Linked DNA regions of Caenorhabditis elegans. Changing the gene in region 2 together with the main gene of any one other region gives a genetic interaction. Each region holds a gene or a part of one and is shown on either strand. Other genes may lie near its edges.

Evidence for each region.
Region 1: of mom-5 (region 2) and ins-22, changing one enhances a phenotype caused by changing the other (phenotypic enhancement), as found in Caenorhabditis elegans (one large-scale study listed by BioGRID).
Region 3: of mom-5 (region 2) and egl-8, changing one enhances a phenotype caused by changing the other (phenotypic enhancement), as found in Caenorhabditis elegans (one large-scale study listed by BioGRID).

The regions. Positions count from the first base shown.
Region 1 is NC_003281.10:10,024,424-10,027,199, reverse strand, and holds ins-22 (putative insulin-like peptide alpha-type 2), read right to left. Parts: upstream 912-2,776; 5' UTR 901-911; coding exon 729-900; intron 669-728; coding exon 589-668; 3' UTR 514-588; downstream 1-513.
Region 2 is NC_003279.8:9,964,029-9,970,557, reverse strand, and holds mom-5 (Protein mom-5), read right to left. Parts: upstream 4,979-6,529; 5' UTR 4,918-4,978; coding exon 4,445-4,917; intron 3,952-4,444; coding exon 3,581-3,951; intron 3,517-3,580; coding exon 3,378-3,516; intron 2,838-3,377; coding exon 2,596-2,837; intron 2,484-2,595; coding exon 2,363-2,483; intron 2,016-2,362; coding exon 1,797-2,015; intron 1,372-1,796; coding exon 1,224-1,371; 3' UTR 521-1,223; downstream 1-520. Other genes in the region: tsp-7 (Tetraspanin), read left to right, coding at 65-209, 312-445. UniProt on the Caenorhabditis elegans protein: Receptor for Wnt proteins.
Region 3 is NC_003283.11:19,341-24,019, reverse strand, and holds the start of egl-8 (Phosphoinositide phospholipase C), read right to left. Parts: upstream 3,014-4,679; coding exon 2,930-3,013; intron 1,526-2,929; coding exon 1,164-1,525; intron 862-1,163; coding exon 726-861; intron 459-725; coding exon 375-458; intron 228-374; coding exon 124-227; intron 1-123. UniProt on the Caenorhabditis elegans protein: Mediates the production of the second messenger molecules diacylglycerol (DAG) and inositol 1,4,5-trisphosphate (IP3) which plays an important role in the regulation of intracellular signaling cascades.

The sequences.
Region 1 (2,776 bases), on a different chromosome or scaffold from region 2:
TTCGATTGTAGAAATATTGTTTAAAACCACTGTGCAAAAATATCCAAATATCACTGTCAAAAATTTTTTTGAGATAATTTCAACAATCTAAAAAAAGTTCGACATTTTTTTCTAGTGAGGTTTAATACATAGTTTAATATTTTAATTCTGTTTCAATTGTTTTTATTTAAAAATTCTAGAGGCCTGTAGCAATACCCGAAATTACTCAAAAAATTTCTCATTTTTGGAAAATTTGGCAATTTACCAAATCTGACTGAAATTTTTGCAAAAAAAAAACGACTTCCAATTTTGCGAGTATGATTATTAACACCTGTAAGTCTTCAACTTTAAGCTGCTTCTTATAAAAACATAACGACACGGTCAGTGAGAAAGTGGTGTTTTTTCCAGACTGTTTTGATTTTTGATCTTTCCACTAGATCACAAGATCTCAATAATTTCAATCTTGTTTATCAGCTGCTATGTTATTGTTCTAGTTTCCGGTTTATGTCTGAAAAATTTGTGCTTTTACAACAATAACACGTGAACAATCTTTATCTTTATATGATTCATTGAAAAATAATGTAATGTATTGAATTTGAGAAGCTCCATTCATTGGTTATCACAGCACATAAACTTGATCTGAGAGTCTGAAAATCCCATGGAACAGTATTCGGTGATGCTTGGATACTCTGAAAATTTAGAAAAATAATTATTTGCAAACAAGGCTTTTGAGTTTAAGTTTATCTCACCTCCGGTAGAACAGATACCCTTCATTTCTGGCTTTGGCGGGCAAAGGTTGGCAATATTTCTGATTGCAGTTTTTCCACACAGAGTTCTGACGTATTTGTCAGTGTGAGCATCCATTGTGGAGACTTGAACAAGAAAGATGAAAAAGCATATGAGAATAGTTGTAGTGTGCATTTTTGTTGGTTAGTTGTACTAGGATATCAAAGACTCTTTTATAGTTTCACATGGGCGGAGCCTCGGGTTTCAAACAATTGACTCCTCCTACTTTTGCAAGAAAGTTTGTTTTTTGTTCTGAGCAATTCTAATCTGGGGAGATGAGAAGAATATGTGTACTAAACAAAACGAACATATAGTTTTTGTAAATGCCGAAAATTGTAACATCAAATTTAATAATAAAATATGTAATAGTTCAGTTGGTTTAAATGAGCTCGACATTTGAATACGTGGGTTTCAAAACAAATAAAAATTTTAATATAGCTCATCTTAAAGGGTTTGCAGTCAAAAAGTAATGAAAACTCTTCAATAATAATTTGGAAATCGACCAAAAATTGTTATACTCTAATTGTATTCCAATTGTTTGAATAGGAACATGGTAGTTCGAACCTGCAGAAATTTTCGAAATTATTCAAAAATTCAATTTTTTTGGGAATTTGACAGTTTAACAAAACTTTAATGGAAAATTTAAAAAAAATTTTAAAAATCTCAAAACAAAGTCTGATTTTTAGTTTGCAAACCATTAGGAAGTCATTCTGGAGGCTACACCAAACGCATCAGTTTAATGAAAAAAATTAATTAAAACGTATTTTTCTTAAAGTCCAACTCCATTTTTCAAAAGTAAGGCAGCTTGCATCAAAAATGCAAACAATAACTTTTTTATGTTTTTTCCCTACTGACGATTGTGTCTAAAGTAAGTGAGAAATTTATTATTTGACAATAATTGCAGAGTTGTTAAGAAAAATTAGATTCCGGCCGCTGTGATATAGAAAAATTAGAGACTAATTTTTTAAAAACGTTTTTCTAAAACAAATTCGTTCCAGAAAATACGAAAATTAGATTTTTAAAAACTATTTATGGAGAAAAGATGACTGACATTGTAGTTTTATCCTATTGTAGCTTTTCAAATTTTCTGTATACTTACAATTAGTCAACGTCTTCCAAATTCTTTCAGAAATGAGAAAGTTTAAGTAATAATTTTTTTGCATTTAAAATTCTTGCAGTTTTCTTACATCTTCAGCTTGAGATTAACATACTATTCCAGACTTTTCACGTGATCCTGAAGCCTAACATTTTGAAGATAAATGTTTAGATATATACGTTGCAATTTGTGTCATGGCAAGAGTTTTCTCTTCCTGTCCTACAATATTGTGACGATGACTTTTGATGGATTATTATTATTAGCAAATAAATCTGATTACATGTAGTGCTTCATGTTGATATACTAATGATAAGTACATTGGATGAAACGAATAAATAGGAAACAACTGATTGAGTATTAAATTTTGTTACAGATTTTCTAAATAAACGACAATTATTTTTAACCAGAAAAATTGTCGGAATCGCCGTTTGTTAAACACAGGAAGAAATAAAAATTTCCAAATAGGTATAAAAGTTTTATAAATTCTATAGAAAAACTTAATAAAAAACTTCACGAAAGTTCGCAACACAGCCTTAATTAACTTATTGGTAATTTGTAAGGTCAAACGGCAGGAGAAAATGGGCTCTCAGAGATGCACTATAATTATAATTTTGCATATTAATTTTACTCCTAGCTTCTAAAATTTTCAATGATTTCCAATTGCAACCGACTCAGTGTTAGTTTTACCGTTCGGGTTTAAAAAAACAAGCATATTTATTCCAGGACCATCTACCGTTGAGATGTAAACCAGGCTATCCTTTTCAGTTCTCAAGAAGCCGTAATGTAGAATTGTTCATAATCTTTTATTTATTTTATTATGAACCCTATAACTTTGTTTATAATCTTTTCTTAATGACAACAAATGCAGAATGTTAATCTTGTTAAAGGTTATTGTTCTATTCATAAATGTAAAAT
Region 2 (6,529 bases):
ACTTCCAAAAAAAAAATTAAAGTAGAACTACAGCATTTAAAATTCAAATTAATTTCAATTTTAGTTGTTTGAATGTTGTGGAGTAACAAATTCATCCGATTGGCTCACATTCACAACAATTCCTGATTCATGTTGCATTGAAGAAATCGAGGGATGTGCTCGAGAGAATGCTCCACTCTTTGAGCCCGGATGCATTCACAGTGTCGAACGTTAGTCTTTTTTTTCCAAGAAGATCAAAGTGTGCTCTGTTGCACTTTCTCAATAGAGCATGATTGGGCTTATCGGAAATTTGATTGTTTTTTTAATTGCAGAATGGGTGCTCAAGAATGGAGCAATGGTCGGCGGAATTTGTGCAGTTTTGGCAGCAATTCAATTGGTCGGAGTCTGTTTCGCTTGTTGTCTTTCAAAATCAATTCTCAAGGATTTCCATGACTTTTATTATTAGTTCATAACCATCCGTTTTTCTTTGCAATCCTTATTTTAGGTTCTTTCAATCGCCGTGTCACAAATTAAACAATAATAATAATGTATAATTTATATATGAATATACGATGAAAAAGAAATTGAGGATGAAGAAAAATAAGCAACCGCATAAATAATGAGTAATAAATTCATAACTCTAAATTCGAGACAAAGACTGGGATGAAAGTGGTTTTACCCTGATTGGAGTGCTCAAAGTGTGAAAAAAAGTGTGTGAACCTTGTGCTGGAGCTGGTGACAACAGAACTTAAGAACATGAATAAACGAGATACATGAAAAATGGCAGCGAGAGAACTGATCTACAGTAACCTGAATTGAAGGGGGTTCTTTTTTGACTTTTCTCAAGCTTCTTTCTGCCCTTTTTGTCAGATTTCAATGTAATTCCACTCAAAAATATCATTTTTCACCATCTTTTCCACTCGTTGTCTCTCTTTTGCTATGTAAGAGCGCATCTTTGGGAGCCGGTTCTTAGAAATGTGCTCGTCGCAACTCAAATCAGGAAGCATTGAGAGACAACGAGTAGACGAGGAGAGTGTAGACACAGAGATGGATCATGCTCTGGGGAATGATTCTGTGAGAGGAAGGGGACCGATGGGCGCCGTCCGATGAGCAAGAGAGAGCATAAGAATAAGTCAGAAAAGTTACAAAGAATGAAGAAAAAGAAACATTTGAGTTGGTTGGGAAAAAAGTGAGAAAAGGAATGAGAATACATATAAATAGGATAAAATGACAAGAAGAGACTATCACCTCATATTAACCTGATCAACATGAGCAGGTACAGTAGGTGACCTCGAAGAGAGTGCCAGGTAAGCCTTGTGATAACTTGAAAGAGTTTTTGAAGAGACAACCCAAATGGCACAGGTTATACCAACAACCAATTGAGACACATATCTGAAAATAAGAACATTTAGGGGTTTCGAATCAAGATAAATAATTCATATTAACTAGACGCGAAATTATGCAGTCTCGGCACGATCCAATTTTGTCGAATATGCGCCTTTAAAGAGTACTGTAACTTCGAAGTCGCGTTGCTGCGGAATTTACATCGATTTTTCATGAATAGTTTTTCTTATGTTAGGCTTTTTGTGTTTGAATTGCTTAATATTTAAATAAGAATATTTTTTATCAAGAAGCGATGAAAATTCTGCAGCAACAAGAGTTTGAAACTACAGTATTCTTTAAAGGCGTATACATTTTTGCATTTAACAAACATTCGTCTTGTCGAAACCGGATGTCGCATTTTTGGCGCAAAAATCAGAAAATCAAATTTAGATTATACAGATTGAAATTTAACTGATTCACAGTTTCAAACTAACTTTAAAAGAAAAACAATAATCTCCGGAGCTGCAACTTTCGGATCCATCGGACAATCATCAACTGGATACGTGAAACCGAATAATTCTCGATCTTGAAGTCGAACACATCGATGATGAAGCCATCCTTCAAGCCAGGCAGGCATATTTACTGCCTGATACCACATAATTGCAGCATTCATTGCAGTTGGTAGAGAGTACATTATGGCGAAGGCACCGATTCTGAAAATATAATATTTGTATGATAATATGAAACGAATATCAGAAAAGCGATTCTTAAGTTTTTCTTATTTTGTTCGGTTCTTAGGAAATCCAATTTTTTCGTTTTTTTTTTCTGAAATTTTGGAATTTTAAATAAAAAATGATTTCCAGGGAATTCTCGGGTTTTAGAATAATTTATCAACTTTCCAAACTGAAATCAATATATCTACATCAGTAAACCTAGTTTGCTCGTCTTTTTCTGTACATGTTTTTCCAATTTTTCGTTTTCCAAAAATCGAAAGTATTTCTTTTCTGATTAAAAAAGCTCAGGTACTTTTGAAGATTTTCAAAAATTTGAAATATCGAACCTCAACATTAATTTCTCCAATTTACTGATATTCCTCTCAACATCGGCGTGTTGAAGTTTAATATAACTTCGAATACGGATCATTGACCAAATTCCACAAACGAGTAAAACTGCTCCGAGTGCTGCAAATAGAACATTTCTGAGAAGAAAACGAAGATAAATAACGATGGAACACACAACGAAACGAATTCAATTTCGGTCTTCCCCCACCATAATATTCACAAAAAAACTAACCCAACGATACAACGATCGGAGTGAAAAAGAAATAGACGAGAGCAGAGGGATTCAAATTTCCAACTGAACAGATTCCAGTAAATACATCTCCATCGACAGAATTTGTCACTAGTACAGTAACCGAGAGAACTGCTGGAACTCCCCAGCACATTGCGTGGAAGTATGGTGACAGAGCAGCAATTGATTCAGCTCCCCATTTCAGATTTGCCGCCAGGAACCAGGCTAGACACAGTACAAGCCACCTGAAAGAATACTTAGTATATAAAATATCATTTTAAAAAGGCTGATAGCTGTTTAAATCAAGATTAAAAATTTGGGTGTCGATTTTCGATTTTTCAATGAAAACAAAAATTTTCGATTTTTGTTTTTTTTTTGTTTGAAGAAAAAATACATTTTTTTCATGAACAAAATTTGATAAAAATTGAATTTTTTTTTTGATTTTCCGATTTTCCGGAAACGGGGTTTTTTTCATTTAAAATTTGGTTTAAAAAAAATATTTTTTAGATTTTTGTTACTGAAAATTGTCGAAAATCATAAATGTAATTTTTTTCTGAAAAATTACACTCGAAATTATAAAAATTAAAATTTTTATCAAAATATTCAAAAAGTTCTTTAAAAAAAAAATGTTTCAGTTGTCGTTTTTTTGTTGAAAAATGTGTTTGAACAAAAGAAAAACATGCCGATTTTTTTTCGAATGCACATTTTCAAAACCAGTTTTCTATTTGTGGTACAAAAAACGGTACTTTTTTCGTTAAAATACAAAAATTAACGAAAAAACTCACCACGCACAACTTGACATGAAGAAAAAGTAATGAACAACAGCAAGAGCACTACATCCAACATTTTCTCCTCCTTGCGTAACAAGTGTTGTTGGAGTAGATCCATACGTTCCACAAGCGAATCCATCTTCACCGACTACGCCTGTAGAAATACATTTTTAGTTTCTAAAAAATCTGATTTAAAAAAAACAGAAAATTCAACTCACCTATCATATAAACCGTAGAAATTGCTAGATAACAGAACGCGAGATACAAAATCGGTCGAACTGGATACGCGAATCGTGATAAATCAACAAGAAATGTGACAAGAGTGAATAAAGAGCACACGAAACATGCCACAGACCATGCTGCTGTCCAGATTCGAAGAATTCGTCGAACACGTCCATCAAACATCATTGGTACTTGATTGTCAGCTTCACATGTTAATGAACATTCAGGAAGGCGTCCACTGAGAAGAGGCAATGAAAAATGAGATCCGCTTGTTGTATGCATATGATGAGGGCATTTTTTTGGAGAAAGGACAACTTCGTTGGCAATTGTTGAAACACCGAATGTGACGTCATTACTACTTCTGTAACTTGAAATATTTTATATTTCGATCTACGGAAACTTGTTTTATTGTTCGATAAAACAAAGAATTTAGAAATCTCGATGTACATTTTTTTCGGAAAATTTCTAAATTCAAAAACTTTGATAAAAAACTATTTGACGCTTTGGAGTAGGAGTTTTTATGGGGCTCAAAAATTCGGAATAATACTTAAATTCAGCCAAACTTGTCAGTATCACAGCGGCCGTAAATTTAATTTTCAGAGAGCTTTTTTTTTTTGAAAACTCTTACGAGGTTCGGTCTTTGCAGGCCATTCTGAATTTATTATTATTTTTCTTTAAATGCAAAACCGATGATTTTAACTGAATTTACAATTTAATTTCTCGCTGTATTTAAAAAAAGGATTCTAGAACGGTTCCCGTAAATTTAAACTTTAATTCATGTTTTGGGTACTTTTGAAATTTTTGTTGTAAATATATATCAATTATAAATTCTTATTCATAAAATTATGCAGAAAACCCACTTTTTAGAGTTGCTCGACTCGCTGGAATTCTTGCCAACACACAAATCAGTTACTGGGAATTTGTTACAATCCAATTGATCTGGCCATTGAAATCCAAACTTTTTCATTAATGACTCGCATCCATTTTTTGCAGATAAACACAATTCTCGACATGGTTGAATTGGTTTTTCGAGTACTGTACAGACAGGTGCATAGACAGTACAAAGAAAGAGACGAATATCTTCTGAGCATTTAACTTTAATTAATGGATTGAATTGCGCAATTGCTGGACCAGCTTCAGATTGTGTTGTATGTCCGAGAAGATTTGGAAATACTGTTTGATTGTAATCCAGATTTTTGCACATTGGAATTGTAATATGTTCACATTTTCGAGTTGTTGAGAATCCATTCATCGATGAAATTGAAGTTGATGAGAGTCGTTGATCAGCTGATAAGCATCCGAATAAAAATAATATCAGAATATGTCGATGCATTGTAATTGATAGTTTTGAAGAGATTTCAGATTGACAAGTGTTAGTTCATAGCAGGATTCGTCTGAAAATATAAAAAATTATTAAAGAAATAGTTTTTTTGGTTATATGTATAGAAGAAGTTCAACATTATTTAGTTAATAGTTTGTGAAATGGAGAGAACAAAATTCTAGAAAAATGATTTTTGGCAAAATTTGGAAAAAAAACCGAACTTAAGTAAATAGCTAAAATCTTTTTCAGAAAAAATCGAAAAAAAATGTTTAGAAAATTAACAAAAAGTGAAATTTTTAATGAGTTGTTGATGTGGATAAACATTTTCAAAAAATTCTTCTAAACGGAGGAAAATGGCCAACAATTTTAGATATTTTACGAAAAATCTTTTTTTTTCTCGAAATATCAGAAAACCAACACAAATACTTTCCGGCAGTTGGCAAAGATGACACATTAAAAATTTTGGCTAAATTTAGGGATTTCTCTTCGAAACATTTTCTATAAACATTTTTTGGAAGGTTTTATTGGAATTCAAAATAGAAGACTCGGTCCATAAATTGACCTTCAATTGATGAGAAAACATTGAATTTTCAAAAAAAGTGAAATGGTGTAATGTTGACATTGGTTCCAAGTGCTAAATCGAATCAATGAATCGTGAAATTATAGTGAGAAACGTGGCAAAGAAAGACAAAGAATAGTAGATTTCGGTATCTAAGTGAATCTAATCTTTAGATTACTGTACAACATGCCTCTAATCTCTTTTTTGTAATACTCTCTCGTTACGCAACTTCCGAGAGAACGGAGCACACACACACAGTAAAGAATAATTACGGCTCGGAATTCGAGAGTAATTAATGATGATGATGAGCACTGACCTAATGAAAAGATCGAAAAAGAGTGAAGAGACACAGGCCACCTGCTGCTCGAGTGTCAAATGGGCAATGAACATGCAAACGGATGAGGGAGGAAGGATTCAAGAATTTTCAAACAGTGATTCATTTCGAAAATATTCTTGTTATTGTTTGGAGAGAATTGAGGAAAATATAGATGAGAATCGAATTGAGAAAAACGGGGACGATCGATCTGTAGAAGAGATAAGAGCAATGACCTAACTGGTAGAATTTTTTGGCATTTCGGAAATTAGTTTTTAGTTTTTAAATATTTAAGTTGAAGAAAGCAAAGAAAACATTTAAAACAAATTGTCTGAAATCAACGATATTCTTAAGCAAAAGGACGCAAAATATTGCACCAAAAATACGGTACCAGGTCTCGACACGATAAAGTTTTGTTTGCGCCTTCAAGGAGTACTGTAACTCGCATTGCTGCGGATTGTTTTGATTTTATATAGGTAAATTCATGGATTTTCATTGTTTTAATCAAGTTATTTAATAAATCAATATTTTCTATCGGAAAACTATAAAAAATCGATGGAAATTCCGCAGCAAAGTTTAAAGTTACAGTACTCTGTCAAGGCGCACAGCTTTCTACATTTATCAAAAATTTGGCGCGTCGAGAGGTACCGTATTTTTTGCTAAAAATCGCAGAATCGAGCCTGAAAATTATATAAATAATTTAATTGTTTTCGAAATTCAAAAAAAGATGCCAGAAATTTAATATCGACGAA
Region 3 (4,679 bases), on a different chromosome or scaffold from region 2:
GTAATAGTACATTTTCTGTTAGTTAAGGCAATTTTTTTTTGAAAAATACATTTTCCAATATATCAGAAATCTGCAATTACAACAAAAAAGTCAGTAATTTTATTTTTGAGAAGAAAAACTCACAATTTAACAAACAGCTCTTGAACTTCGGTTCTCGGACAAATCTTGTTATAGAGCCTCTGGAATTTTTCAAAGGTGAGGATGTCGACGTCAAGTTCTTCGCGCTCCTGAAACATACCATTTATTTGAAAATTTTAGACTTAAAAAAAAACTTTTTTCACTTTTTTTCAAGATAGAAAGTCTACATGCAAAAAAGATCATTCACGATAAATAAAAAATTCTGAAAAAAAACCCAGCTTCACAACATGTCAAACCTTTCGTTTTCGTCCCCGACTGCACTTGTAGAAATTCCGAAACTTCTTGCCCATCGATCGATTGATGACCCGTGCCGGCGTGTACTAAATGAAAGGAGACCAGTACATACAACAAACACCACACAGAAATGTATACAAAATTCAAGAAATATACGTTCTTTTGGAAAATTGGAAAATTACTATAACATGCCGTTTGTGTGCCATGCACTGAAGTGGAAAATTTGCGGAGAAAACCTATCAAAAATTAAATCGGAAAAAATGAGGATAGAGAAATATTCAGAGCACAGCACAACAGGCATACATAATAATTTTTTTTGTTCTAAATTACATTTTTTTAAACAAAACTCATACCTTATCGCCTCCAAGACCCAAGTCATTTAGACACTTTTGAACCATTTTTTCAGGTTTTCCAGACGAAAATGTTTTGATTATCAACTTGATCGGGATTTTTCGTCGTTCGTTGACATTCATGGTGAGCCATGTATGGCTGAAATATTCGATGTTTAGGTGATTTTTTTGAGAAAATCAAGTAAGTAGCAGCCGACACTTCATGGGTAGCAGCCGATATTTCATGGGTAACAGTCAATATTTTATGGGTAGCAGCCGACACCTCACCGGTAGCAGACGACACCTTGTGGGTGCCAGATAACGCCTCAGAAGTGGCGGCCGACACCTTATGCAATACTATTTAAGAGTTCAGGTTGTGTACCAATTTTTTGAATATTTTTGAATAGTTTTCAGTAGAATCAAAATGTCTATTTTCAAATGTAAATAAAATTAATAACTCACTATTTCATCAATTGGGTAGTTGGACACACGTGTCGTATTCTGGACGACTTTAGAATATCATTAATGCCCGCTCTACACGTTTTTGCCAACTCGACACTTTCGGCGACAAGAAAAAACGACTGAACATTGACTAAATCCTGGCCATGCGTGATCCATATCGTGCGTTCAGCTATCGTTTCGCTGGCTCCGCGCTGCTCCAATTCGAACATAATTCGGCCGTCTTTGGGTAGGCCGCCCGTGCGAGCTTCCCATATTTGGCCCATATCGAGTACGACAGCATCTTTTCCTTCGATCAGCCACCGGAGAAAGAAACCGTTCTCGTCAATTCGAACTTGAGCATTTAGTTCCAGACACGTACTTTCCTGTAATAAGTGAATTTGTGAGAAAAATTGTGAATTTTATGAGTTTGTCCAATTGTAAATTTTTCAGGGAAATTTTAACTTTTTGATAACTTTCGGCATATTTTAAAGCTATTTTTTCTGAAAAAAAGTATAATAATTTTTTGAGAAACAGAAAATTTTCAGGTGTTTTATATACCTTTTTTTTTGAAAATTGAAGTTTCTCTGCAAAGAAATCAAATAATTGAAAATATTGTAGCAAATTTTATTTCCAGAAAAAGAAAATTTCAATTCATTTTCAATAATTTCAATATAGCAATTTTCTTATCAAAGTTCTCTTCCGAAATATTGAAATTACCTAAATTGTTCACTGACACGTGGAAATGTTGTTTTTTCATGCAATCAGCTAAAAAAGTAGCCATATCTATCTATCTCTAAATGTCTCTTTTTTTAATTCTTACGTCCAGTTGTTATCAGTGAATCGGGAGCAACAAGCAACTCTTGTAATGCTCTTTATTCTTCTTATCAAACAAAGAAACCTAAATTCTAGTCAAAAACGCATCATCACTGATTGGAAGAAATGGGATTAGTATTCAGGAAAATTGCTGGCTTGTTTCCTTTTTTAGTTAAAAAATGAAGTATCGTCAGTAGGGAAATTGTTTAAGACGTCCATGGGGCAGTTTCAGGGCATCACGCCGGGTCTCATTGCTGCACTATGGCGATAAGTCAAAAGCTTGGTATCTATACCATATAGTGCGAAAGCCGGTTTGTTCGTTGCGGCCGACATTTTTTGGATTCTGCGCCGCAGGCGTTTGCATGGAACCCCTACTTATAGGACGGAGTCGACTATGCAATATAAAAATTGAAAATTTACAACTTTGTTGGTTTTCAGCTAAACTTTTCAAAAAACGATCAAATTTTTATTTTTTACATTCAAAAAGTGGTAAAAACTCAGTTTTCTCCTATGAGACGGAGATTTCAAAAAAAGTTAGTTTCCAGCCGCTCCGACATTGACAAGTCGTTTTTTTTAATCTAATTTTTGTCATTTTTTGAGGCGCCATAATTTTTTTTTCCGAGAAGTTTCAAAGAAGTTTCATTATGAAATTCGATGTTTTCAGACAATTTTGGATCACTAAAAAAAGGAATAAACAATTTGACTCCACGACCCTTTAAGCGATTTTAAGAATAATAAAATGATCAACATCGCATTCGTGCAGTTCTTGTTTTTTTTTTCGTTACTCGGATTTTTCAAAGGGACAATTAAAAGAGAGCTTATCAGTTTTCATGTATCTATTCGTAGAGCATATCCAATTTTCAATAATTGCCGAGTACGGCAAACTCGACAATCTCTTTTTATTATTTTTTTAATTTGCCCTTCTCTGCAAATTTGCCGCACACCTCTACATCAGGTCTTTAAAAAAAGCTCACATCATCATATCGATCGAAAACCGATCCATGAAGAAGTTCAGGGATAATAGTGGGCTTCCAATTGAACTGGAACTCCTTTGCCATCTCTTCTTGCCGGTTACCAGGAAAAAATAAAGTCTTCAACTACAATAATTCTCCTTCTTCTGAAATATTCAGAAGATGCGAAGAAGGCGACGCGACGACGTTGCGCCGTCGTCTTTCCCTGCCACGTGGCTCTCCTCCGTGTGTGTTGAGCCGATATAGAGTACGTGTGGAGAGGGGTCTGGCTGAAAAACGTTTTTTTACAAGATTTTCAGGTGAAAAATAAAATGAGAAAATTTATGAGTCATTGTAAGGTAAGAGAGATAAACCGTCAACACATTTTGCTCATTTCATAGAAAATTTCCACATTTATTCCAACTTTTATCATGCCTGTATGTCAAAAAAACTATTAGGTCAAGGAATAAGTTTTGTCGTTTTTTCTCAGTTTTGATTTTTTCTCAAATGTTTTTTTGTAGTTATATAGAAGACTGTTAGCAATGACAAGTTTATCAATATCAGTCAAATCAGGCGCCTTTAATAATATTTCCAGCTCAAAACTGTGACAACGAAAAAAAAAATTTTTTTCGATTTTTTTCATTTCTTTGTGAAACCAAAAAGTTTACATGCCCTGAAGTATTAGACAGTTAGTTAATTACAATCGTGCAATATCAGCTCCAGGCACCCTCTTTTGGTAGCGCTAGATATGTTTGAATTGTCAAAAGTGCTTGCAAAAATGACTTTTTTAACTTTGAGCGGCGCTAACTGGAGGCACGTAAAAGATACAAAAATGTAATCAACTACAACATTAACAAACACATCAATAGCTACATTTTATTAGTTGATCATTTTTTTGTATATGCACTGGTTGCTGAGCTACGATGAGTTTTAGTGGAGCTGGCCCAATTTTTCAAAACTCCTTTCTTTTCACTTTATGACCCGTAACTCCGAAACCAGTTGACCGATCGAAAAATGTTCAACTAACAAAACATTTATCTGTTTATTATAAACATTTTCCAATTTAAAATATTTTAATGTACTTCATTCGGGCAAAGATATGCGTCCTTTAAGAAAACATGTGGAAATTTGTAAAAAATTTCGAAAAAAATTTTGAAAAAAATTGAAAAAAAATTTTTCTTAGATAAACTTCTAAATACTTTTGAATAATAATGTGTACCTGCTAACTAAAAAATTGCATTCATTTTTCCTAGTCAACGCTTCTTTTATGGGGAGAAAAACTCAATTATTGAACAATTTTCCTATTTTTTCAAAACTATGTGTATTACCTTTTTTGATAGCTTTTAACTTTGCAAACATGAGTAACATACAAAATTTACAAATTATTAAATGCTTATAATAAACAGATAAATGTTTTATTAGTTAAACATTTTTCGATCGGTCAACTGGTTTCGGAGTTACGGGCCATATAGTGAAAAGAAAGGAGTTTTGAAAAATTGGACCAGCTCCACTAAAACTCATCGTAGCTCAGCAACCAGTGCATATACAAAAAAGTGGTCAACTAATCAAATGTAGTTATTGATGTGCTTGTTAATATTGTAATTGATTACATTTTTGTATCTTTCACGTACCTCAAGTTAGCGCCGCTCAAAGTTAAAAAAGTCATTTTTGCAAGCACTTTTGACAATTCAAACATATCTAGCGCTACCAAAAGAGGGTGCCTGGAGCTGATATTGCACGATTGTAATTAACTAACTGTCTAATACTTCAGGGT